Styela clava: one gene and its partners. Each later gene encodes a partner of the first gene's protein in a complex. Links are inferred from orthologs where the notes say so. Each region holds a gene or a part of one and is shown in the gene's direction. Other genes may lie near its edges. The genes, in order: transcription initiation factor TFIID subunit 5-like, transcription initiation factor TFIID subunit 1-like and TATA-box-binding protein-like.

Region 1 (7,877 bases):
AATTGAATCAATATTAAATGATGAGTGGATGCAAATGTTGTTCAACTAATTACTCGACTTGATCTACTTCATTCTCCGCAATTTTATATTAAAAGCTAGGAATATGAAGTGATCTTTACAGATACTATTATAAGATTTTGATGACTACTATATACTACACCAATTAGACTTCATTTTATGTGGTGTTTCATGCAGAACATCATTAAATTTCACATTTTTTGAAGGGAACAATGGAAAGAGTCCACTGCTGCCAAATCACTCTTCATTTATCTTCTGCTGAGGGCAAATGGAGACATTCTAACAGAAAATCTTGACATGTTCATTCCATTCACATTACTGATGGTAGATGATTTTGTTCCGAAAAACACAATAATGGGACTAAAGTGTATGAAGCACATTTTACATGAAGTCCCCCCAGCTGAAATAAGGTGGGTAAGATACAGACGGAAATAGCCAATGCTTAGAATATATAAGTTAACGACTACTGCGTTGAAATCATTCAGGTTCAGAGGGAGAGCAGAAGTGATTCATGATGCCTTGGTGAAAAAGTTGTATACCAGAGATTCTGACGTCTCCAAAGTTCTGATTTCGTGTATTATGCAATCTCTGGATTGCTTAGAATCTGAAATGATGCGGAAGCGTGGATGCAGTATTCCAAGGCATGATGAGTGCTTTGAAATTGTTCTGAATAACTTTCATTTGTCGAGTGACAATTTAGTGAAAAGGTGAATTATATTTGATTTACGAAATAAAACCATTGATAAGGATGAATTTTTAATAAACATTTAGTCCTCAATTACATTATGATTAGATCATGGGTGAAATTATTGCTAAATAAAAATAACATAATTTCTTTCCACAAAATATCAAGTATATTTATGAGCTTTCGTTAGTTAGATCACAGTCTAACTTCTTCAGATAACACAAGATATTGCTTCGTGGAAGAAGATTAAGTTATTTTTATTTATCTTCATAATACTATCTCAGTCACGCATCCTGGTACAGATCCGTAATAGAAAGTAAACAAGAAGAAAGTACCTGCAGTTAAATACCCTAGTACACCTGAAATTATTGGGTTGACAAAAAATTAGAATTTTCATCTCTTTTGAAAGTTCTAGTAACAGGGAAAGTCACTTCTCAAACTTTATATGCCAAATATTTTTAGCTTTTAGCATTGGATGATATTTGTTGTCTGCATCTATTAAACAGCTACGGCTGACCTGGTAATTCGAAACATCTTCTGTACCTTCCAGAGTTTATTCCTCTGCACTGCCTTTCTTTGTATCAAGAATGGGAATTCAAAGTATTGGTCATATTAAGAAAATTATAATTGTTCTGGATTACGGAATAGAAAGTACCGATATTCAAACAATGTTGAGCTGCATTGACGTAATTTCAAAAATGGTTGATGCCGCATGGCCAAGGTGAGTGAAGTCTTACTGATCGAATATCATAGGACTACATTTACCTGCTTGCAAGTATATGAAAGAGAATGTAGGGGGAGAATGTATGCTATTTAAACGCAAGATTAAAATCAATTATTATTCTGCTATATTGATGATAGGTATATTCAAAAACTATCCTGTACTACTAGTCTTTATCATTCTAATACAATTTGTCATTCTCTTAGACTAGAACATCACTGTGAAGCAATGTTAAGATTTCTAATAAGAGCACTTTATAACCTGGAAAATGATGATTGGAGGTGGAAAGGATGCAATGAAAATGGGAAAAAGAAAATCGTGAATGCCATCATTGACACAACGATGAAACTTTCAATGCTTTCTAAAGAACTTATCCTGGTAGGTCCATGATTTCAGGATCAAATGAATCATAATTTCTCGCACTTTTTTTAATATACCATATTGATCATTTATGCAAACAGGAGACTGCACAGATGTTAGAAGCTGAAACAGATCTGGCGTTAAGTCAATATGGCAAAAAAATCCAACAACTGATTGCCACCTCTGCTTAGTCCAGTCTATATCGTGGAGATGGTATTTCATCACATTGGGAATAGTTGCACATTTTGAGCATTGTCATAATCCGTGTTTCAAAAAGTTAGTGCCTCTCTTTTAGTTTTACTTGTACTGGGTTCAGTTTCATATTCTATTTCTAAATGTTTTCTTTTCGATGCAGATTTTGTTTCCTTCTCGGTTTCCTCTTCAGACTCTCCTTCTGATGTCAGATCTTCAATATCCTGATGAAAGAATGATATCAAGAATCATGTCCATGAATTTTTGCTAATCTCAATCATATTCTAGCTTACTGTTAGCAATTTATTTTGGCATAAGCTAGAAAATTATTAGTGGAATATACATATACAACACTGATCCGAATTCTTGAACATCAAAGATAAATAGATTCGTGCAGTTACAAGCAACTTATAGACATTTTCATATACATATGCAAGACACTGATTATTTCATCATATAGTAGTATAGCATGTCAGAAACCATAAAGGTAGAATTACAGACAGGCAAGCATAAATTCAATTGAGGCCAACATGGCCTGACTTTTGGAAAGTTAGTGTATGTATTGAGTGGCTTTATTTCATCAAAAGATACGAAAATCTATAGAGCTAACTAACGCCAAAGCACATCTTTGCAACGCCGGGAAAGGCATATTTAGTCCTGAAAATTTAGGGTAGGTAGAAATTAAACGAAACTTCATGTATTCATTGTTACTGATTACAAAATAGACAGATATAAATAAATCTCACCTCTAGATCACTTTCATCCACTTCGTCATCAGCTACATATTCCACCTCCTGTGATGAAAATAACTCAAATTTAGATTACTCAGGAAATACCAGAGCAAAAGTTTCATTTTTGAACAAACATTACCGCCTGAGTTTCTTCCTCGTCTTCACTCTCAGACTCGGCTTCATCTTTTTGTAAAGCTCTATCAAATGCAGTGACTGATACATTATAAATATCTCCATACGTTCCTTGCTTTAATCTTTCCAATAATTCTTTTTCTATTGCATTCTCCAATTGTGCAGCAACTAACGCTTTTTGCTGAAAAGATGAAATAAAAATGATTAGTTTAACAGAATTTTTCTTGGTAAGTGAATTCAATAATAAATTAGTCATACTTCCCGCCTTGCTTCTCTTCGTTCTACTTTCCGACTCAAAGGCACTAATTTTTTCCTGAAAATATTAAAAACAGATTTATCCTTTAAAACACAAGTGCAGTTTCAAGTATTTTGTGGCGTCTAGAGCTGTCGCAAATCCATAGCCGCTATGACCAATAGCGCTACTGACTTTTTAGCTGCCACAAACCAATAGCAAGCTGCCGTGGATACGGCAGCAAATCGAATACCACCAATTTTGCTGCTGAACCACGGCATGTAAATGTTGGGTAAGTTGAAACGCTTTATTTATGAATACAGTTTTGATGTATTTGGGGTTAGGTTTAGGTTCAAGTAGTTATATTTCCGCATGATAAACTAAAATATTGTACATGACTTTGTAAATATACAGGTAATAGCGCCATAAAACCATGGCAAGAGACGCCGCAGTACATTCGTGGCAGGAGCTGCCATGAAGTGGTAAGAACTACGCTTCTTCAAACATGTATGATTTTTTTCTATTCAATATCATTAATACTCAATTCGGGCTGTTTACTTTAAGAGTGTTGACTTATTTCTATGGTAGATGATTGAAGAAGACTCGCTTAGGTTGAGTTTCCCCTAATATTGCCTGACCATCAAGCCCTCAATTTGACTGTTTGGTCAATAATTAAACTTCATGCGATGCAGTAACACTTATTAAATATATTATTTGATTTTGTAAAATATTGATTGGGAAATATTTATTGAGCTACAATAAATATACTTACTGCCTTCGTAAAGTTAACTTTCGAATTCTGATCAAATATTGATATATCTTTGTGAAGCGTTGTTTACACTTATGTCTTAAAAAGTACGGCCAATATACTAAATTTTCATCAATTTGTTCCAATGCTTTTTCATAGTTTCTTGATAGCTTTACTTTTTCCCATAATCTTCCAGGAAAAGCTGCTCTTTCAATTGTCTTCATATAAAGATAACAAACACCTAGAGTAACATTTTAAAATATTTATTATTACAACATAAGGCTATTATAGGAAATGTGAAAATACTACATTACAAACCTTTCTCTTCTTTTATAGTAGCATACTGGCTGTTAGCCAACGGGCATGAGCCCCTGTTGCAAAGTCCCGTCAAATTATATTCATTTTTACAAAATCTTTGTGTTTTTGATGTGATTGCTCTGAAAAAAGATATTATAAAATGAAGCTGTTCTGAACATACTGATGGAAATGAAGGGTGGTATTCATTAGACAGAAAACACACTTACTTTGCTTTATAGGAGCAAAATTGCTTGTTTCCAATGACATCCCAAATAACCTGTAAAAAACGTTCAATAGATTGTCATGTCGTAGATTGTAAGATTATTGAAGGCATTAGGGTGACTGAAGAAAAATAAATTACTTACATCGTCGTGTTGCATCTTCCACCAACGTCAACTCGATCAAAGTCTCACAAAATTGCAATCAAATCGAAGTTGTGGCGACCCACATTATAAATAATGATATACCCAACATGTGTTGACTAAGGCGTCATAATTTTATGCCACTGGTATCGTTTTAGCGTCTTTCATGATTTCAAAAATAAGGAAATTGCAGATAACATGATTTACATGCGCAAAATTTATTAAGTTTTTTTATTTAAAAAATACTAATTAATTTAAAAATCTTTCATTCTATTTTGATTTTTTTTTGTTACCTTGTTACCTTAAAATGCCTGTGACGCGATTACGGTGCCACAAAAGATAACCTCCGGTGTTTTGCGCTCTGATTCTGTATTTCGCGTTTGATGAATGAATAGCGTTGTTTAGGGTTTACAATCCGATTGGTTTATTGCTTCGTTTCTAGTTTGTATGGACAGCTATACGGGTTTGTATACAGAAAACGGATATAATGGAATCTGTATTTGCAAATGTGCCCGCGTTACCTGTTAAAATGGAAGTCACGGAATGCATTTCTACCACGAATGAAACTAAGGTTACTGAGACCCCAACAAATGAAAATCAGAAAACACTTTTAGCTGTTCTTCAGTTTTTGAAGAAAAATAACTTGGGAACAACGGCAGCTATGCTGGAAAAGGAGTCTTCAAAACTTACAGGTAACAAAATATGTAGATTATCGCTAGTAAAATGCTGAAATCCAATACCACTTGCTGGATATTTGAATAAGTATAAGTTTATTTCGACTCCATAATCAACATAACAAACGATAAAATAAATATTTGTAAAAAAGATGACATCACAAAAATGAGAAATTGCTAGACAATGCCTTAATTTTGTAAGATGTAATTTTCCATGCGATTTTTATTTTTTATTAAATAATCGTATTTGCTACGCCGACTTTATGCATTTGCACCCCCACAACTAATCGATCGACTAACGAAAAAGTAATGATTCTCTGCTGCCCACTGACGGCTCGTTGGAAAGCTTATTTAAAGAGCTTGCAATTGGCGATTAAAAATTTTTTTTAAAAGGGGTGGTCTGAGTCACAAACCGGATAGAAAAAAGGCATTTTTTTTTCTTGGGAGTTGAAAATTCAAACCGTGATAAAAAATAGAAATATTCGCTAAATCCTTTACTGTTACCGCTTCGTGGTTGGCAAACAATAGCATAATATTGCTGTAGCAATTTCGTGATCTAACTCAAAATACTTTGGTAGATGGAAGGGATAATATGTCTTCTATTACCATCCAAAAAACACCAAAATTTGCATAAATTTCAAAAACACTCCCTCGTTCCGCCGCAAATAAAATTCCCGTCGTAAACGAAAGCGAGATTTACCACTGCTTATGTTAATCTCGAAGATGACTTCTTATCAATAAACTAAAATCCGGAAAAACTAGACCAACAGTTTGCGACCGATTGCTAAATAAAACAGTGGAGTACATCAACGTACCCGCCGCAATCTAGCGACTTTTGTCGTTGGTACGTATACGTGCCTACCGCACGGAAAGGGTTAATAAATTTGATTTATTTAACTTTACTTGTTTTTCAGGTTCTGACGGACTTCCATCTGATAGCAAAAATTTTAGTACATCTGATGTTTCATCACTACTTTCCACTTATTCCAATCAAGCTGATCCTTCAAGTTACCAAGATAGTTATAGGTAAAATAATCAAAAAAAACATATAGGATATACTTATTTAGATTCTTAACTCTATACACCCAACTCGCTCCTCGTACTTGGGCTTCGTGTTGGAGAGCTTCGCATGAACCCGTTTATTTTGTGGTAATTTTATATTCTTAGAATTTATTCATATTGCAAGGTTGCCGTTGACAAGTAGATCGAATAGTCATTTCACGGTTATTCTGTCCCTTCCAAGCAAAGACATGACTGACTATATACAGATCTCTTATTTTGATTTTATTGTGCTTTTTCTGAGCGATTTGATTGATTGCTTGACTCGAGTCATTGACTAAACTTGAGTGGGTGTCAGGTGTTTCAATTTTTCAAAGTAAAGGAAAAAATGAATGCGTAAATTAGGAGCTTTGCAAGGGAATGGTGGCAATGCTGGCAACAATATGCGGCTCACGCTCGCACGGAAGATAACAACCAATCAAAGATTTGATTCTATGTCATTGTCATTTCAGAAATTGTGATAAATAATTTTTGATTTGGACTTTCATACTTATTCTTATTTACATACTTTTGATACTATTACTACTCTTTTTATTTGTTTCTTCTATTCATTTATTTTTTTTATCTTTTTAAGGTGTTGTAGACTCGATGCCGGATCATTCCGTCCTTCACAGCACTTGTCATTTCAATATTTATTTATGACAAATTTTTGTTCTTGATTGATTGTTTTTTGAAGTGACAAATAAAATAACTCGACTCTTACGAAAAAATAGAAGCATTACCACTCTGACAGCAATCTGCGGACATAAAATGTGTCATAAATAGCCAGATTGATGACAGTTGTAGATGACAGTTATTCCACTGTTTTGCAAATTCCTCCTAAGAAAAGCTTCTATTGCTTGGTTTTATTTTCGAATAAATTCAATATTGCATATTCAAAAATAATAATTTTGAATGTATTCGAAAGAGTGAATTATTTGTTATTGTCTATGAGATTCTATCCTCTTATATTTGTAGAATGTTAAAGCAGTTCATCGAATCAAATTTGGACTCACATAAATGGGAATTAGCTCAAGTATTATATCCAGTATTTGTTCATATGTATCTAGAACTCTTATACAATAATCATGCGGAAAAGGCAAAGTTATTTTTTCTACAATACAGGTGATTAAGCAAGTTGTATAGACGGTCAATCATGTTTATAGTAGATATGACCACTTTTTAATTTTTGATTCAATTGAAGTGAATGCAGTTTTTGATCCTAGAATACTTTTATAAAAATTGCTCAAATATAATGTGAACTTGGAGTGATACAATTTGTTTCAAGCTATTTTCCAGTTGATAAATTTTTTTGGGGGTCACTAAGATGTTAGGAGAAATGAACGTAGTAATTTAGAATTATTTCCTTTTCATAAATCACAATTAAATGCATTATTTTTGCAACTTCTCCACTTTACTCAGAAAGAGGCTGTGAAATAAAAATAAAGAATATGATAGAAGAATCTCTACTTCAAACATACAATAGAAAGATATATATTTCTTCCTGTGACTTAAAATACCAAGTTAATTAGAAACATGAAACACTTCAAGTCTGCACTGTTAGGAAATTCGACAAAGCAGAAGTTCTACAATTGAGAAATTTTTCTCGGGGTTAATTAAAAAATTCCTTTCCTTATTCTTTAGTGGAGAATTAGAAGATTTTCATGAAGAAGATTTAATCAAATTA
Region 2 (7,687 bases), on another chromosome or scaffold:
TAGAAGATACATATAAATAATTTATTGAAAAACAAGAATCCGGGTCAATCGTGCAATCACTTACCGACCACCAATCGCATTCACGACCATAGTAACCTTTACCACCTTGTGATTGCAATACTTCAGGTGAAATATAATCAGGAGTGCCAACGGCTGTGTCAGAACGCACCATGCCCTCCTAGAAAACAAAAATAAGGGACTAGTCATAACACAATATTGATGTACTCTAATATTTCAACTGAAGATATTTGATGAATAAAGATAAAATAAATAATGATCATTGAGAGACTGAAATCATTGAAATTTATGATTCAATTATTTCATCATTACAGGTTAGTTCACCTTTTCACTAGGAAACATTTGAAGTAAGACTGGGGTAGTTTCACAAACAATTACTTGCATAAAAATTGACAATAGCTGTTAGTGAAGATGTTTCAAGAATTTAGTTATAATAAAATTAGTAAAAAATTCCAAATAAAAAAATATTTGAATTATACTTTTGCTGGAAAATCAAAGTTCATATCACTCATTTTTTGCCAAATTCGATTCATTAAGAATATTCAAAATTGATATTCTGAACAAAATTTTAAAATAAACAACTATGCAGACACAAATATCCCTAATTCCAATAAAGAATTCAATTTACTGCAGGTGTTTGAATAGTAATTATTCATTTACCTTGTCCATACTCATGCAAGTTCCAAAATCAGCAAGTTTTAAATGTCCTTGAGCATCCAGTAACATATTGTCAGGTTTTACATCCCTGTTGAATAAAAAAGTAAGTAAATTTATTACCAAAAGAAACGTGGTTAATTAAGGATACATATTGAGTGCTAGATTTATAGACAAATATAAAAAGTTACCATGCAATCCAATTAACAATAAAAACTGTTTTTCCTTCATTTACTGAAATAATTGTATGGATGACAGCATACCAACCACAAACACAAATATTTTAAATTTGTAAAATTTTTGCTTATTGGTGATCAATTTGCTGACAATGAAACAAGATAATAGGACAAGTTCCATAAACTAATAAGCATTATAATCCACAATAAATCGAATACATTCAAGATTGTATGCATTCAATTTAGTAATATAAGAAAATTTAGGTCAGTTTTATTTGTCATTTTAATCAAGTACTATCTGATGATCAAGATAAAAAAAATAGATTTCACTTAAATCAGGCAAGGCAAAAACAGAAAATCAATAATAACAACGATTAATTTATTTTTAACAAAACTAAATTCATCGTTCATTTACTATAAATTTTTATTGATTTATGCCTCTCTTGAAAATGACCCAATTTAGAATGTCACAATACTTTATATTCCAAAATATTAGTACGAAGTGTATTTAGAAAAGTTGAATTATTTTAATTTAGCCACCGTAAGTACAAGCATGAAATAACTTGAATTGTACTTGGAATGTAATTATATCACAAGATATATAACTAACAATAGGACAATATTGAACAACACATCTGGTATGAGTCTATTTGTAGTTCACGGTTGAATATTGACAATTTCTATCAGAAAAGCAGATAGTTGCTAATTAGTAAATTCACATCACATTAAGAAGAACAAATTATAAATAAAATATTATTGATAATATCATAATGCAGTCTGAATACAATCAAACTAATTAATTTCGTAATTTAAGTTATCCTAATAAGTATATACAAAAACTATTTCACGTTTTTGAATTATATATTTCCTGACACAATCCAGAACATTATATTTATGAAGCATGATTTGACTTAAAGATTGATTATTATTGGCAATGTGCCAAGCCAAGCTATGATGAGTGTTCATAAATTCCGGTTACAATTTCAAAATAGTGGTATGAAGTCAGTTCTTAATATATCTTATTAACCAGGTTTGTTTTATTTCAATCAGTTATTTAGTTTTTTAACTTACTATTTTATACACCTTTATTTATGCCGACCATCATTTGCACGGAGCATGTTAAAGTTCTTTTACCTATTTTAATACAGGCTTCATGAACTCTCTACATCACCAAATAAATGCCCGGAATTGGGTTTTATGGAAACAACTGTCAAAGAACCCTTAATATGAGCCTTAGATCTATTAATAGGCAATTTCCACCATACCCAATACTTTTAATTACCAATATTATGGTTCCATATCGCAATAAAATATCATAATGATTTGAAAGTTGGATTACGTCATGCAGTAATACGTATAAACTTCCCATAGGACACACAACGTTGTAACAAGACTATTTATTATACATGCAATATACAATATCGGGCACGATGGACTAAATAATCAGCAGCTTTATGTTAGCCACAACAGTGGAGAAGTCATCAATATTGAATGAAACAGAAAACTGGCCAGTTTTTCAACTGGCAATATCTATTGTACAATTTTGTTTTAATAAATGTACTCAAGTGACTAAAACAAATAATAAATTTTATAATAAACTACAATGTTTGTGATTGTCGACTGGTCTTCAATAACGAATGTTTTTAAAAAATTATATATTACACAATTGAACTACCGGTACATTATGAATGGTATTAAATATAAATAACAGATTATAGTATATTATATTCAGAGTCCCTCCTTTACCATATGATTCAAAAATGAGATTGCATGAAACAAAAATGATTTGTTATATCACTGCTAACCTGATGACTAAAAATAAATACTGGTAATATAAAATACAAATAGAACATTTAAAAAAAAGTTATAGACCGAACTTTAAAGACAGTTTATCCATAGGATGTGATATTCCCTATTCAAATCACAAAAATGTTGTATTAGAAATACCAGAGTTGGCTAAATTTCACCAATACCACCCTAAGAACAATTTGGAATAGTGGAGAATGTTACTATCGATGAAGTTGCAGAATATTTGATAACATTTTCCTTCAGTAAAGTATATTCAAGTTTGTTATTTAAAAAAAACATACTCCCATATGCCATATCACATCAGGTGAATTAAATACAGCAAAATGTATGAAAACATTCTGATGTGTGGTATTAAAGGGGGATAGGTGTTGCACAAGTCTAATATATATAAAATATATATATACAAGAATCAATTCGTAAAGTTTTTATGCGGAAATATCAGAAAAAAACGGGTACTCCTGTAGTGTGTGTACCAGATTAAGGCTATGCCTTAATAATTTTATTCCGATTTTCCTTATTTTAGTTCTATTACGAGTCTGGGACTGTCTGTGTTAGTCAAGTGAATATGAAATAGACAATATGAATATAGACTCTCTCCGTTATGAGTCGTCAGTAAAAAAAAGCTTAATTAGTTAGATAACTTGCCTGTGAATGAATCCCATATTGTGTATTGATTCAAGGGCAAGAACGACTTCAGCTGTGTAAAATTTTGCCCATTGTTCAGGCACATCATAATTAGACATGAGATTGACCAGATCTCCACCAGGCATAAACTCCATTACCATATAGAGGTATTTATTGTCTTGAAATGAATACTGCAAACGCACGATCCAATCCGTGTTGGCGTGTGCCATAATGTCTCTTTCCTCCCAGAAGAAAGCAGATTCTGATCTTTTGATCTATGGAGCATTATAAAAGGAATATACCGAAACAAAAAATTATATAGATGATTGTCCATAAATTTAGATAAAACCAAAGTGGAAGAATGTCATATTTACACACAAACACAATTCACACACAATTTGGACACGAAATGCCGATAAAACTGCGAAACTTTCTCAAATATAGTAAGCTAAAATTAGAATGTGTGGTTCAACATGATAATCAGAGCAGTCATAACAATTGTGTTGCCAAGTACTTTCCATGATAACAATGCCAATATTTTATGTGGTAAGGTTCATGTCACTTGAATAAACATATTTTACCAAATGAAGATTTTATTATTAAGAAATAAATATACCGCAAAGCAATAGTAGGATATACATTGTATTTAAACACAATTGTTTCCATATTTTTCAAGTGTTTTATAATTATCCATGAATAAGACTGATCAAAAACAAACAAGGGTATAATTTAACAAACTCCATTATCGACATGCGTTCTTGAATAACTTCACCAATGACACAACTCACCATTTCAAATTTGCTCAATAACTTCATGGCATAAACTTTAGAAGTGGGTTTGTAACGAACGAGTTGAACTTCACCAAAAGCTCCTCGACCGATTGTCTTAACTACTGTGAAATCAGAAGCTCTCATCCTTATTTCATAAATTTTCTTAACAGGATGTGCGTCTGGAAATATAAAAGTTTTTTTTGTTGAAATGACTCTCACTTTGTACTCTCATCCGCAAAGCAATACAAATGAGAATAAGACACTTGACTCATTTATACAGAACTTGACATTTATGGAAAATATATTCATAACAGATTGCTGAAAAGGATAGTCTTTTTATTCAGCATTTATTTTGTCAAAGTTGGATCAAAGTTTTCCAAACGGATCTAATGCTCATAACTAAATGATTAGTTGAATTAAATACTTACATCTATTTAAAAAATTTTCCACATTCTTGTTCCTTCTCAAAGCAGGAGTGTCTAGATCCGTAACCAATGCAACGATGCCATCCTATGAAAACAAATTGAAAAATTAGAATGAATATCAAATACAATTATCAGTATAGGAGATAAAATATCCAGTTGACTACGTTAGTGAATTTGTCATATGGCATTTTGCCTAAAATAGTTTGACTTGGATTATCGTGTTGTTGCACAATATTTACTACCAATAGGCAATAGTGCATACCATTTTTTGCATTGTGTATAATGTTGTTTTTCCATCTAGCTGATTGGAGAATTTGGTTGTATTAAGGTTGTGTGATGATTACTTTCAATAGTTAAAACTGAATTAAACCCAGTTGGTTATGCTTCTTATGTGAATTTTGTATTTACAAGAATTTGGTTATGTGTAAAATACCAGTTAATCAGACCTTCAACAATGAGAAACAGCAAACTCCACAGAAAACTATGCAAATTCACTTATATAAAGAGAAAGACAATCCCACAAGAAAAAACTATAGCACAGAAGTATAATATATTAAGATATAGTAAGATAATATATTGTAAGTTTCAACTACAAGCATAATACTGATTTGATACCATGCCAAACCATGGATCATTTAAGCTAAAACCAGAAAATTATCGACAAATTCTGTAACATTTATACTGAAATTTTCAGCGATTTCATTTTTGATAGGATTGACACGTTATGTAGCCTATATTCAGAAAAGTGGTTGTTTATTTTAAGGCTTAATCAGATAATTATTACTGGTATTTATAGTAGAACCATGTAAAAAAAAAGACAAACCACAACATACTATTTTTAAAATAAGTTTGTAAAGTATTACTATTTTGTGTGTCAAAAGCTCTGATCTAGAAGGTTTTTTAATACTATTTCTAAAACATATATATATATATATATATATATAAATACAGGATCTCAAGTTGAAATAAAGTGGCTCAAAACGGGCAAAAACGCAAACTTCAAAAAGAAAGAAGTATAATGATACAAGCATATATTTACATTGCCATTGAACAACAACAAGTTGTTAACAGGTGTGCATGAATACCACAAACAGGTTAAAATAATTTAGAAAATGTATTAAACTAACTGTCGTTTCAGTGCAATAAATATATTATAATAACCCTAGCTTGTGGTTAGAAAGTATAATCCATAATATTTTTTTGAATATGTTACTGTTGGTCATTATATAAACTCCATAGTAAAGTATCATAGCAGTTCCTAAGTCATAAAGAAGGTCTCAACATCAAATTGAAAGATAAAATGTATGGCTTACATTGCATTAATAATTCATTATAATTGTGACTTTGTTTATAATAGAAAACAATACTAATAATTCCTTTTTTGAATAAGAAACTGGAAGAACTATCAAACAAACTACCATAGTTCAACTGGTATACAAACTGTTTTATTTAATACAAATTATCCAATGTTAGGTTAATACTTTATTGTATGAAATATGAATAATTGAATTTGAAAAATAAAACTAAACTAGAGAAATTAATATAAGAATGCAGTTTCAATGACCTATAGCCAGCTAAACATATACCAATTATTTAGTCCAAAATAGGATTGAAAAAATATAAGTCTTGTTGTATCAGCTATATCTTGTCAAAGGAAGGCATACCGAAACAACTTTACAATCAAAAATTAACATTTGAATAATTGGAAAAATCATCAGTATACCAGTATCAGGTAGTTTTATTTGGCAGAGTCACTTATTTTAAATGAAAAAGCCTTGAAATATTTTAGGATTTATAGCTATATTGTTACCAATTACTATCAACTATGTAGTAAAACCGGGTTCAATCTCATGCTCCATATTACATTTATAACAAAAATTTTCATTTGGCATTTTAAAAATTCACGGTTCAAAATTTGAAATAAAAATTGAAACAAAGCCCAAGTTCTGAGCCTAAGGACAACTAAATTATTCTGATTAACACCATAAAATTACAAAGAATTGATTGTGGAATTTGATCTCACTGCATAATTTAGTATGACATGAGCACTCAATTCATCACCTGTAGTAAAGCTGGACAATGACGTAATTGTGTGCCTTATATGCTTGAATAAATACATGTAGTCGAAAGTCAAATAAGTCTACAGCCAATATTAATAGATAAACCGTGCTGAATACTGTCATAATGGTCTTGGTAAGAATAGCATTATATAGTGTTGTACCTTTTTATTGTATATAACACAACAAATACCAGACTTCTTACTATTTGGTTTTTGTGGAATGTTATAATAAAAGCTAAAATATGTATGTTTGTTGATTCTGTATTTGCAAAATAGCATGAATATCATCATTTCAATGAATCTATGCATTATTTTAAATGATATTTATTTCTTTTATTTTTTAGAAAATTTACTTATTTCCAGTAAAAAACAATGTACTTTAGTGTCTCATCAACACATAGTCAATTGAGAAGCAAATAATTCATAAAACTCATTATTATAAAATCAGATGCATCAAGAATTCCACTGTATAGGTAATCTCCATTGGAACACTCAGTTGAAGATTATAACAACCATTAATCCCCAAATTGACATATTCCAAATTAAATCAATTTTCAATGATATACTATAAACCTACACACACTTAATCATTGGCATCAATTCGAGATGCCTTTGTGTGAATACCCATCAATTATCAATCAAAACTTCAATGATTAAGCACTTAAAAAGAAATGTTGTTTTTGAATGCAATAAATTTTTGATTCTGTGCTGAATACCAAAACCTTAAAATGCAGTCTGATATAATAGTCTACAAAAATACATGCCACATTTACTCATGCTAAGTTCCTACAAAGCAAAGTAGGCCAATTAAACTTTGTTTTATTTGGTTAATTATGGCACAAAGGAGGAATGGTAAAACTCTGTACAAAACAAACTGCTGTGAACTTTCAACTAGAGGTAACAATAAATAATAATAAAATGGAGAATATGAATAGAAGTACAATTAACATTGCGAACAAACTTGGAGGGTATTTGAGAATACAAAACTTTTCAAATGGCATGCATGAGCATAATTCCCTATACTGCTATTGGTCAAATCACAAAAACAATACTGTTGTGGACTGTGGTGGGTACCAGGATATGTTTGCTTGTTTCACCAAATTGACACGTAATCGTGAGTTTTCTATGCTTATTTACATGAAGTAAATCTGA
Region 3 (8,103 bases), on another chromosome or scaffold:
TATACGGTACCACTGATACGGTAATCGGACACGTTTAGTGGACATAACGATCGTTTTGTTGTTATCTTGTTTTTTTTGTTGTTCAACACTTTTCGGACACCTAGTTGATCACTGGACCAATTGCTTTGAAATTTTTGGTGGTTAAAGATGAAATTTTTCTCCAGAAATCTATTACTTTTATTTATTTCAAATATTTCTGTTAGCTCCGTGACATTTGTTTATGTTTGCTAAGACGTCACCGAACGTTCTGTGGTCATCGGACGCCATTTTGTGTCCTACTGTACTGCTTCGCTTTATGTGAATATAATTTTGGACACGTTTAGTAGACATAACGATCGTTTCAATATTATGTTGTTATTGTTATTTGTCTCCATCATTTTTAAAAAATCGCCTTTCTCTTCGAATACTGGACCAATTGCTTTGAAATTTTCAGTGGTTGAAGATAAAATTTTTCTCCAGAAGGCTTTTATTTTTTTTTCGCTATGACGTCATTAAAATTATCGCCATTGGGTGGCGCTACGTGCCCATATATTTGAGCATAGCTCTCTTGTGTTGTTCTTTGACACGTTTTGAAGAAATCGCTTTTCTTTTTGATTACTAGACCAATTGCTTTGAAATTTTCAGTGGTTAAAGATAAAAATTTTCCTCAGAAGGCTATTACTCTTTTTTTGCTAAGACGCCATCAAAATTATTGCCATTAGGTGGCGCTACGTGTCCATATATTTGAGCACAGCTCTCTTGTTGTAGACTGTGATCTGACGGTACGGTAAACCGTACTGTACTGCGAACAGATGTGTCCATATATTTGGGCGCTGCTCTTTTGTTGTTTTTATAATTGCCTGAGCCGCTGAGCGCAGAATTTACCAGCATTGCTTTGATTTGTTTGTATGTGTCTTGATTCTCTGTATCACATTTTCACCAATGCCAAATCAATGTAGTTTTCACGGTTTTTGACGCTTCTCGTCACCTTATCACATTACAATACACCTACACACGTTGTCATTGTATCAGAATAAATTGGTCCTTATTAGCTTGAGTATTTCATAAGAATACAACAGCCCGTAAGTTTATTACATTCGCGTATTTTTTGAGTGTTTATTTCTGGCATCCTGACAACCAATTATTATGGAATTACTGGATTGAATTATTATGGAATTGCAACCACAGTCATTTTCATTACGCACATCCACCATATCGGGGTGCTTGGCCACTACCATTTCATTTATTCCCCCTCCACATTGACGTCATATGCGCTTTAAAATTTATTTGACGTCGTAATATCATAGTTAACCTAATAATATTGTGTAGGAGAGAGAGAGAGAGTTTTTCTTTCACAAATAATGTCACACTATAAATATTTGAAGCACAGAACAAAAAATAGTAATTCAATAATAATTGGTTGTCATTATATGTTAGAATCATTATACAAGTCCGGCTAGGTCACGAGTACCGTATATAGCCAGAGATTGCGTTGTTGACTAATTCAGACTAGATTTTATTTTCGGGGTACCACTGTTGTAGTAGGTTGTATTTTTTGTCGGTTTCCCTAAATAGTAGTATATCAAATATTTTATTTTTCATTATGTCTTCCGATAAGCTTCATTTTAGTAACAATAATCAAAAATCAGTGATAGGCCGCGAGCCGAGGCCCTGAAAAACGCCTAGAAAGTGAGTTTCGTAGCGCACATCAGGTAACTACCTGAAAATGATTTTAAAATGTTCCTTAAAAATTTAGTAACAAATATTGCCTTGTTCCCACTTCCAAAAGTTGCACGTTTTACGGAAAAGAAGCTTTTACTACAAGAAATATGTGCTACGATCTGTCCTATATTCTCTACATTATCGGCAAGGAACAATGACTTCTGCAAGACGTAACAATTGAATTAAACCAGCTGTTAGCGAGTGGATGAATATTAGGTATTACTGCTCGACCTTGCGCTGAGTTGGGCAGCCTTTCCATAGCCCTGTTTAGTTATTATTAGTTAAGTTATGCTAAGACGTTGTTGAAAAATGTATAAGTAAGTTATTAAACACTTGTAGATCCTTACCACGGATATGGGCCGTGAGACGAAACCATGAAAACGCCCAGAAAATGAGTTTCGTAGCGCACATCTGGTAACTAAATAAATTCTTCAGTTTTGTGTGAAAACGAACATAATGAACGCATTACAGCTTGTTCCACAATCCTGGTGCGAAATTGAATATAAGAGGTTCCCGGAAATTCAATAACCATAAGTTTACAACACATACATAAGAACTATACAATTCGAGAGCCCTACAGCACACTAACACAAATGTATTCCTGTAATGTTTTGCCTGACCAAAATCGGACTTCCTCAGTCAATCATAATTTATTAGGTAGATTACGAAAAATATGGCATACATGTAACCAACAACAAAAAATACTTTAATTGTGTGACAGGAGTCGGGAGTGACCTCGAAAGCAGCGACACCAACAACGCTGATTCACATTTGCGAATAAATTTTATGTAATAACCACAAGCAGTTTACAACAAGAACAGCATGAAAAGCTACATCCATTTTATAGAAGCTATCAAACCTATTTATTTTTTAGCAATGAAGTCACAAATTAACATCGTGAGCACGAAAACACAAATAAATCAGTTATTTCTCACTTAGAAATTTACCGCAAGTCAAGAAAATTAAACGAATGTACAATATGTACATAACATAGTGAACAGAAATATTACAATTCACAATTAATCTTTTTTAGTTTATGTGGTTATGTATTTGAAAAGGCAATAATATTTCTAGAAACAGGACTACGACACTAACAAATGTCCGAAAAAACAAACAAATGTATGAGTATGATACTTATTAAATCAACTGTAATATCTAATTCACTTTCTTCTGAATTGTTTTCGAAATCCACTATCTCAAAAATCGACTTTTCCTCTATAGGTGTACTGTGATTTCTGCAGTCAAAACAAAAACAAAAATCTGTGCAATTTAAGTTGATTTTGGCACACTTTCATAAATTATTTTGACTATTTTTCTTTGCAGTTTGCCAACTCAAGAACTGATTTGAGGGCCACATGCTTCTTCAGTGAATCATTGTTGGGTGGAGAGTATAATCCTTATGTTTGACAGTGTTAAATAGACGTGCCCTGGTATCATTTACATTCTTCATATCCTCTTCAAATTCCTCAGCTTTATTTATTAATGCCTCGTTAACCTCAAAAGATCTTCATAGTCGAGGGAAATAAATGAATTGAAAATCTCAATGAAGTCTCCAACATGAATTTGATGGGCAGTTCCAATTGCAGAAAAGTGCTAAAGTATTTCAATATGAATAGCCCATCTAAGCTGTTTGCAACTATTATGATTCTCATATACCTTTAAGCTTCAAGGCTTCTTGTTTAATCCATTTTATAGCACTGATAGCAGCAGGGATCAGAGCCTGCGTTAGGTCGGATTGGTGGAACATTGCCGTTTTCTTTTGTAGTACAGTATCTAAAATAAGGAAGAAAATAATATTTGGAGCAGCATGATTTTAAAAATACCCCTAAATACGGTACTAACTAATACCTTGAATATATAATGCATTTTATCTGATGTACTAAATGAGCGTATACCGGTATATGCTCATTGCATGTACTACAGTCCAGCAGTGTTTGCATACCATTACTAGACTATATCTACACTAAATTTTGATATATCACAGTCTGAAATGTCCTATGACAGTATGAGTATGGACTATAGACTATATTTTGAAACATCAACTGTTTGTCTACAACTTGATTTCTCACCTCTCAATCGTTTCCAATGCTACCTTTCTTTCCACTCCGGCATAACTTATCATTGCTTCCCAGGTTCTTGTCGACTCTATGAATTTAGATTTAGACCAACCGACATTAGGAAAATTGATTAATTTCTTCTCTTTCACACAACCGTGCATTACAGAAACAGCCATTCATTTCTATTTCCAAATATGCTGTGGCCTATATAGTAGTATAAGTCTGCTGAATAGTCAAAAAGAGTCATTAAATTAATCATAAACATTTCATGCAAGCCAGAAAATATCGTTGTTTGTGACATATTATTCTAGGTCTAGCCTTCCTTGGAGTTACCGCACCGTACCTATTTAACAACGTCTTATGAGCTAGTGCTCAACTGAAATTGCTTGTTATGGTAAGGATATACAAGTGTTTAATATCTTACCTATACTTTTCAACACCTCCTTAGAATAACTGAACTAATATTACCGGTAACTGAAAAAAACTATAGAAAGGCTACCGTACTCAACGCAAAAGCGAGCAGTTGTAGTACATCTGATATTCATCCGACCACTGGGTCTCCACCTACAGCTGACTAACTTGACTGTTACGTCGTGCAGAAGTCTGCGTTCATTGGCCCATGATACCGGAAAAGCAGAGAAAATAGGACAGATGGTAACACATATTTATTGTAGTAAAAGCGTCTTTTCTGTAAAACGTGCAACTTTTGGAAGTGGGAACAAGGCAATATTTGTTACTAAATTTCTAAGGAACATTTTAAAATCATTTTCAGGTAGTTACCTGATGTGCGCTACGAAACTGAAAGATAAATGGCCTCGGCTCGCGGCCTATGACGAAAAAACTGCGATAGACTGGGGCACAAGGCTATAATTTGCTTTCAGTTCCCATACACGGCACATGGCTAACTATTTTACTAAAAATAATGCTTTGAACCTGTAAACCACTTTAGCTCTCAAACACTATTAAGCTATCAATGCATGCTGACTGATTTTATTTTAAAATTAACACGTATTCAATTGTTTATTAAGTGTGCGCGTGTAGTATTTAGAAGCTTTGTGTGAAACAAAACTGTTGGAGGTAAAAAAATTTTGTTCAAAAAGTTTGTTTAGTCTCAATCTATACAGTACGCATTAGCTATCGAGAAATTTTGAATAATACATAAACTTATATATCATTTTAATTTTTACATATTATTTTTAATAAATTGGAATTTAATATCACTATGAAAAATAAAGGAAATGACGCAATAAAAAAGTTGAATGATATTATTTCACTCCGCTTGGGGCGCTGTCATTCATTTTTGACGTCGTCGCTGTTCGTATCTTCGTTGTTTGTGACTGTGTAGGTCACTACTCTTGCTTGAGTTCGAAAGGCGGTGTTTCCTAACTTCCTGAATTTTTACTGCCTTACGATGAATCCACAGCGAGTCATTCCAGGCACTATTCCACATGGAGGAATATTACAACAAAGGAGTGTTAGTGGACAACAACGGCCTTTGATTTCTCAGGCAAATCCACAATTATCACAAAATCAGGTAAGTGAATCACTGAATTTACATCCTTACCTGGTGAAGGTTTGCAATACCATTATTGTACTGCTTTGTCTACTTGCCAATGAACAATATCTATAAATTCATTATAACTATTGGTGAATACGTAGATATAGCCTAACTGCAGAACTGGTTGATATTTCAGTACCGTCTGTATTTAGGCTATTGTTCTATCAAGAATGGATATTCCAGGGCAAGTCACTGTCAGATTCAGTAATTGCTTACCAAATTAGACATGTATTTTGCTTTATATTCAGGCTGGAAGTTCTGGATTAAGTTTGCCAAATCCAAGTGGATATAACGCTGTGAGTCATCACCAACAGCCACCAAGAGGAATGTATGGAAGCCATCCAATGTATGGAGCTCCATCGCATCAACAAAATACACAACCTGGAGGTTTGTTAAGTCTAATATTGTGCTCCAACTGTACACTTCGTTTTTTCACATGCCTCCGATTTGATTGCTTTATATGCGATGGCTAATTGAATGATCAAATATCTGAATTTCAATGTATGATTGCTAATCCTAGTCGGCCATAAAGTGGCATAGTCTACTTACCTTGCAAAATGAACTGCAATAGGTTCCTTGCAATAATTTGCAATTTCCTTGCTTGTAATAGCATATGTCGTGTCTTGTTTTTAGGTGTACAGTTGTGTTTTATATCCCCAGATAATGTGGGACCCACAATACCATATTTTTGCTAGTGTAACCTTACCTTATGCTTCTATGCCTGGGTATTCATTTATTTTGATTTCACAAAGGCAGTATTGCTATACCAAAATTGAATTTTCACCATTTTTTGATGTATGAGTAATAAAATCCTCTCTCCTTGTATCAATTGGCCTTCACTATTTGTTCGTCTGTAATAGACCATGTTCCTGCAAGCTATTGTAAAACTAATTGTGGTATTTGTATTATAAGGCATCAAGGAGTAACGATTGATATCATTCCTTTCATTAGCATCCAATCAACACTTTGTTACTTTGGAAAGTCAAAGGTCACATCGTCAGAACGAAGATGAACGATCAGATGCTCAACAGCACAGAACATCAGTTGCAATGAGTCCAGCACCTTTATCCAATCTCCAAGTATGTCACATGTATGTTACAGAAAATCAGGTCTTTACTTACCATTACTTGTGTCTTATGATGAGTATATTTTTTTCTTCCATCAAACCCAATGGTATTATTTTGACAATAGGGCAGACCATATCGAAATGATTTGTTTTATATTTCCTTTATTTTGAACAGGTCCCCACTCCTAGCGCATTGAGTAATTATCATGCGAACACTCCTGGTTATCCCTTGAGTGTGAATGTAGCAACACCAATGACTCCTCGAACTCCTGCAGATTCTGGGGTCGGACCACCAATGTTACAGTAAGTATATGGTTTGATTGTTCTGTGTCATATGTTAAATTACTTTGGAAGAAATTCTGTGGAATATTTGATACATGTAGTAATGATGTAAAATATATTTCATGTGGACTTGCAAAAAAAAAAATAAAGACTCAAACATGATAGGTGATGTTATTATTTTTCTTACTTTTCAGAAATATTGTGTCAACTGTAAATCTAGGATGTAAGTTGGATCTCAAGAAAATTGCCTTACATGCTAGAAATGCTGAATATAACCCAAAGGTAAGGGTTCACTTATTTTATTTAGCCCAAAGCATCTTTGATACTGATATAAAACATGATTACCTGTAGTTCTTCTATTATGGTCGGTTGTTTAGCTATACAACTTACCTACCAGTAAGCTGACAAAAATTCCAAAATAATGTAAATATGTATTTTTAGCGATTTGCTGCAGTAATTATGCGAATTCGTGATCCGCGGACAACTGCTTTAATATTCAGTTCTGGCAAGATGGTGTGCACAGGAGCTAAAAGTGAAACTAATTCAAGATTAGCTGCCAGAAAATATGCGAGAGTTGTACAGAAACTGGGTTTTCCAGCAAAATTTTTAGATTTTCGAATACAAAACATGGTAGGAAGTGTTGATGTGAAGTTTCCAATTCGATTGGAAGGCCTTGTACTAACACACGGACAATTCTCAAGGTTGGTACTTAAATGAATCTGATGGAATTTTTCATTTTAGAGACCTATCTTTCTTTATATATGCATTGGAAATTGTAGATCTGCCAAGTTGTGAACGTTTGAAAATGGTTACAATCAGTAGCCTATACCAGGGCTACTCAACTATTTTTACCGAGAATCGGCATACAAAACTTCAAAAATATTTGGGCATCCTTATTAAACCCGCACTTCCTCGACCGACTAATGATTATTAGCTAATCAAGAATATTTATTATGGCATTATAGTTCTTTTCATATATATTTAAATCTATGAAAAGTGATATTATAAAAGGAAAACTTCAATAGTGGGGCTCATGATCCAAAATAAAGAATTCGTCGCGGTCCGAATCTTCGGACCGCCAGTTGAGTAGCACTGGCCTATACTTTCTATAATTTATGAAAACCTTCTAGGAATGTTACATAAGTTAACACATACATCGTGGAATCTGGGCACTTGAACATAGAATTTCATTTTACAGCTATGAGCCTGAACTCTTTCCTGGGCTGATCTACAGAATGGTGAAACCTCGCATTGTACTTCTAATCTTCGTATCTGGCAAAGTTGTACTCACTGGTGAGTGTTTCCCATACTACAAGTTATCTTTTAATCATATAACATATTCTAGGGATTATTTTAAAATTAAACTATTCTCTTCAGGTGCAAAAGTGAGATCAGAGATAGAGGAAGCTTTCAACAACATCTACCCAATTCTGAAAGGT

What was found.
Region 2: transcription initiation factor TFIID subunit 5-like (region 1) and transcription initiation factor TFIID subunit 1-like share a complex: the UniProt entries of both Caenorhabditis elegans proteins name them as parts of the TFIID basal transcription factor complex. The link is inferred for Styela clava from reciprocal best matches to the Caenorhabditis elegans genes taf-5 and taf-1.
Region 3: transcription initiation factor TFIID subunit 5-like (region 1) and TATA-box-binding protein-like share a complex: the UniProt entries of both Caenorhabditis elegans proteins name them as parts of the TFIID basal transcription factor complex. The link is inferred for Styela clava from reciprocal best matches to the Caenorhabditis elegans genes taf-5 and tbp-1.

What each region holds. Positions count from the first base shown.
Region 1 is NC_135258.1:9,324,809-9,332,685, reverse strand, and holds the start of transcription initiation factor TFIID subunit 5-like, read left to right. Parts: upstream 1-4,824; 5' UTR 4,825-4,965; coding exon 4,966-5,170; intron 5,171-6,066; coding exon 6,067-6,178; intron 6,179-7,168; coding exon 7,169-7,315; intron 7,316-7,834; coding exon 7,835-7,877. Other genes in the region: TELO2-interacting protein 2-like, read left to right, coding at 225-428, 504-725, 1,254-1,424, 1,631-1,802, 1,886-1,975; protein MAK16 homolog, read right to left, coding at 2,054-2,200, 2,723-2,770, 2,847-3,020, 3,098-3,152, 3,844-4,060, 4,138-4,256, 4,344-4,393, 4,482-4,496. UniProt on the Caenorhabditis elegans protein: The TFIID basal transcription factor complex plays a major role in the initiation of RNA polymerase II (Pol II)-dependent transcription.
Region 2 is NC_135257.1:9,180,696-9,188,382, forward strand, and holds the start of transcription initiation factor TFIID subunit 1-like, read left to right. Parts: upstream 1-4,621; 5' UTR 4,622-4,804; intron 4,805-7,687. Other genes in the region: rho-associated protein kinase 2-like, read right to left, coding at 65-178, 679-763, 3,303-3,556, 4,070-4,230, 4,480-4,561. UniProt on the Caenorhabditis elegans protein: The TFIID basal transcription factor complex plays a major role in the initiation of RNA polymerase II (Pol II)-dependent transcription.
Region 3 is NC_135253.1:12,137,280-12,145,382, reverse strand, and holds the start of TATA-box-binding protein-like, read left to right. Parts: upstream 1-5,042; 5' UTR 5,043-5,169; coding exon 5,170-5,292; intron 5,293-5,564; coding exon 5,565-5,703; intron 5,704-6,267; coding exon 6,268-6,395; intron 6,396-6,557; coding exon 6,558-6,685; intron 6,686-6,858; coding exon 6,859-6,946; intron 6,947-7,105; coding exon 7,106-7,365; intron 7,366-7,862; coding exon 7,863-7,957; intron 7,958-8,041; coding exon 8,042-8,103. UniProt on the Caenorhabditis elegans protein: The TFIID basal transcription factor complex plays a major role in the initiation of RNA polymerase II (Pol II)-dependent transcription.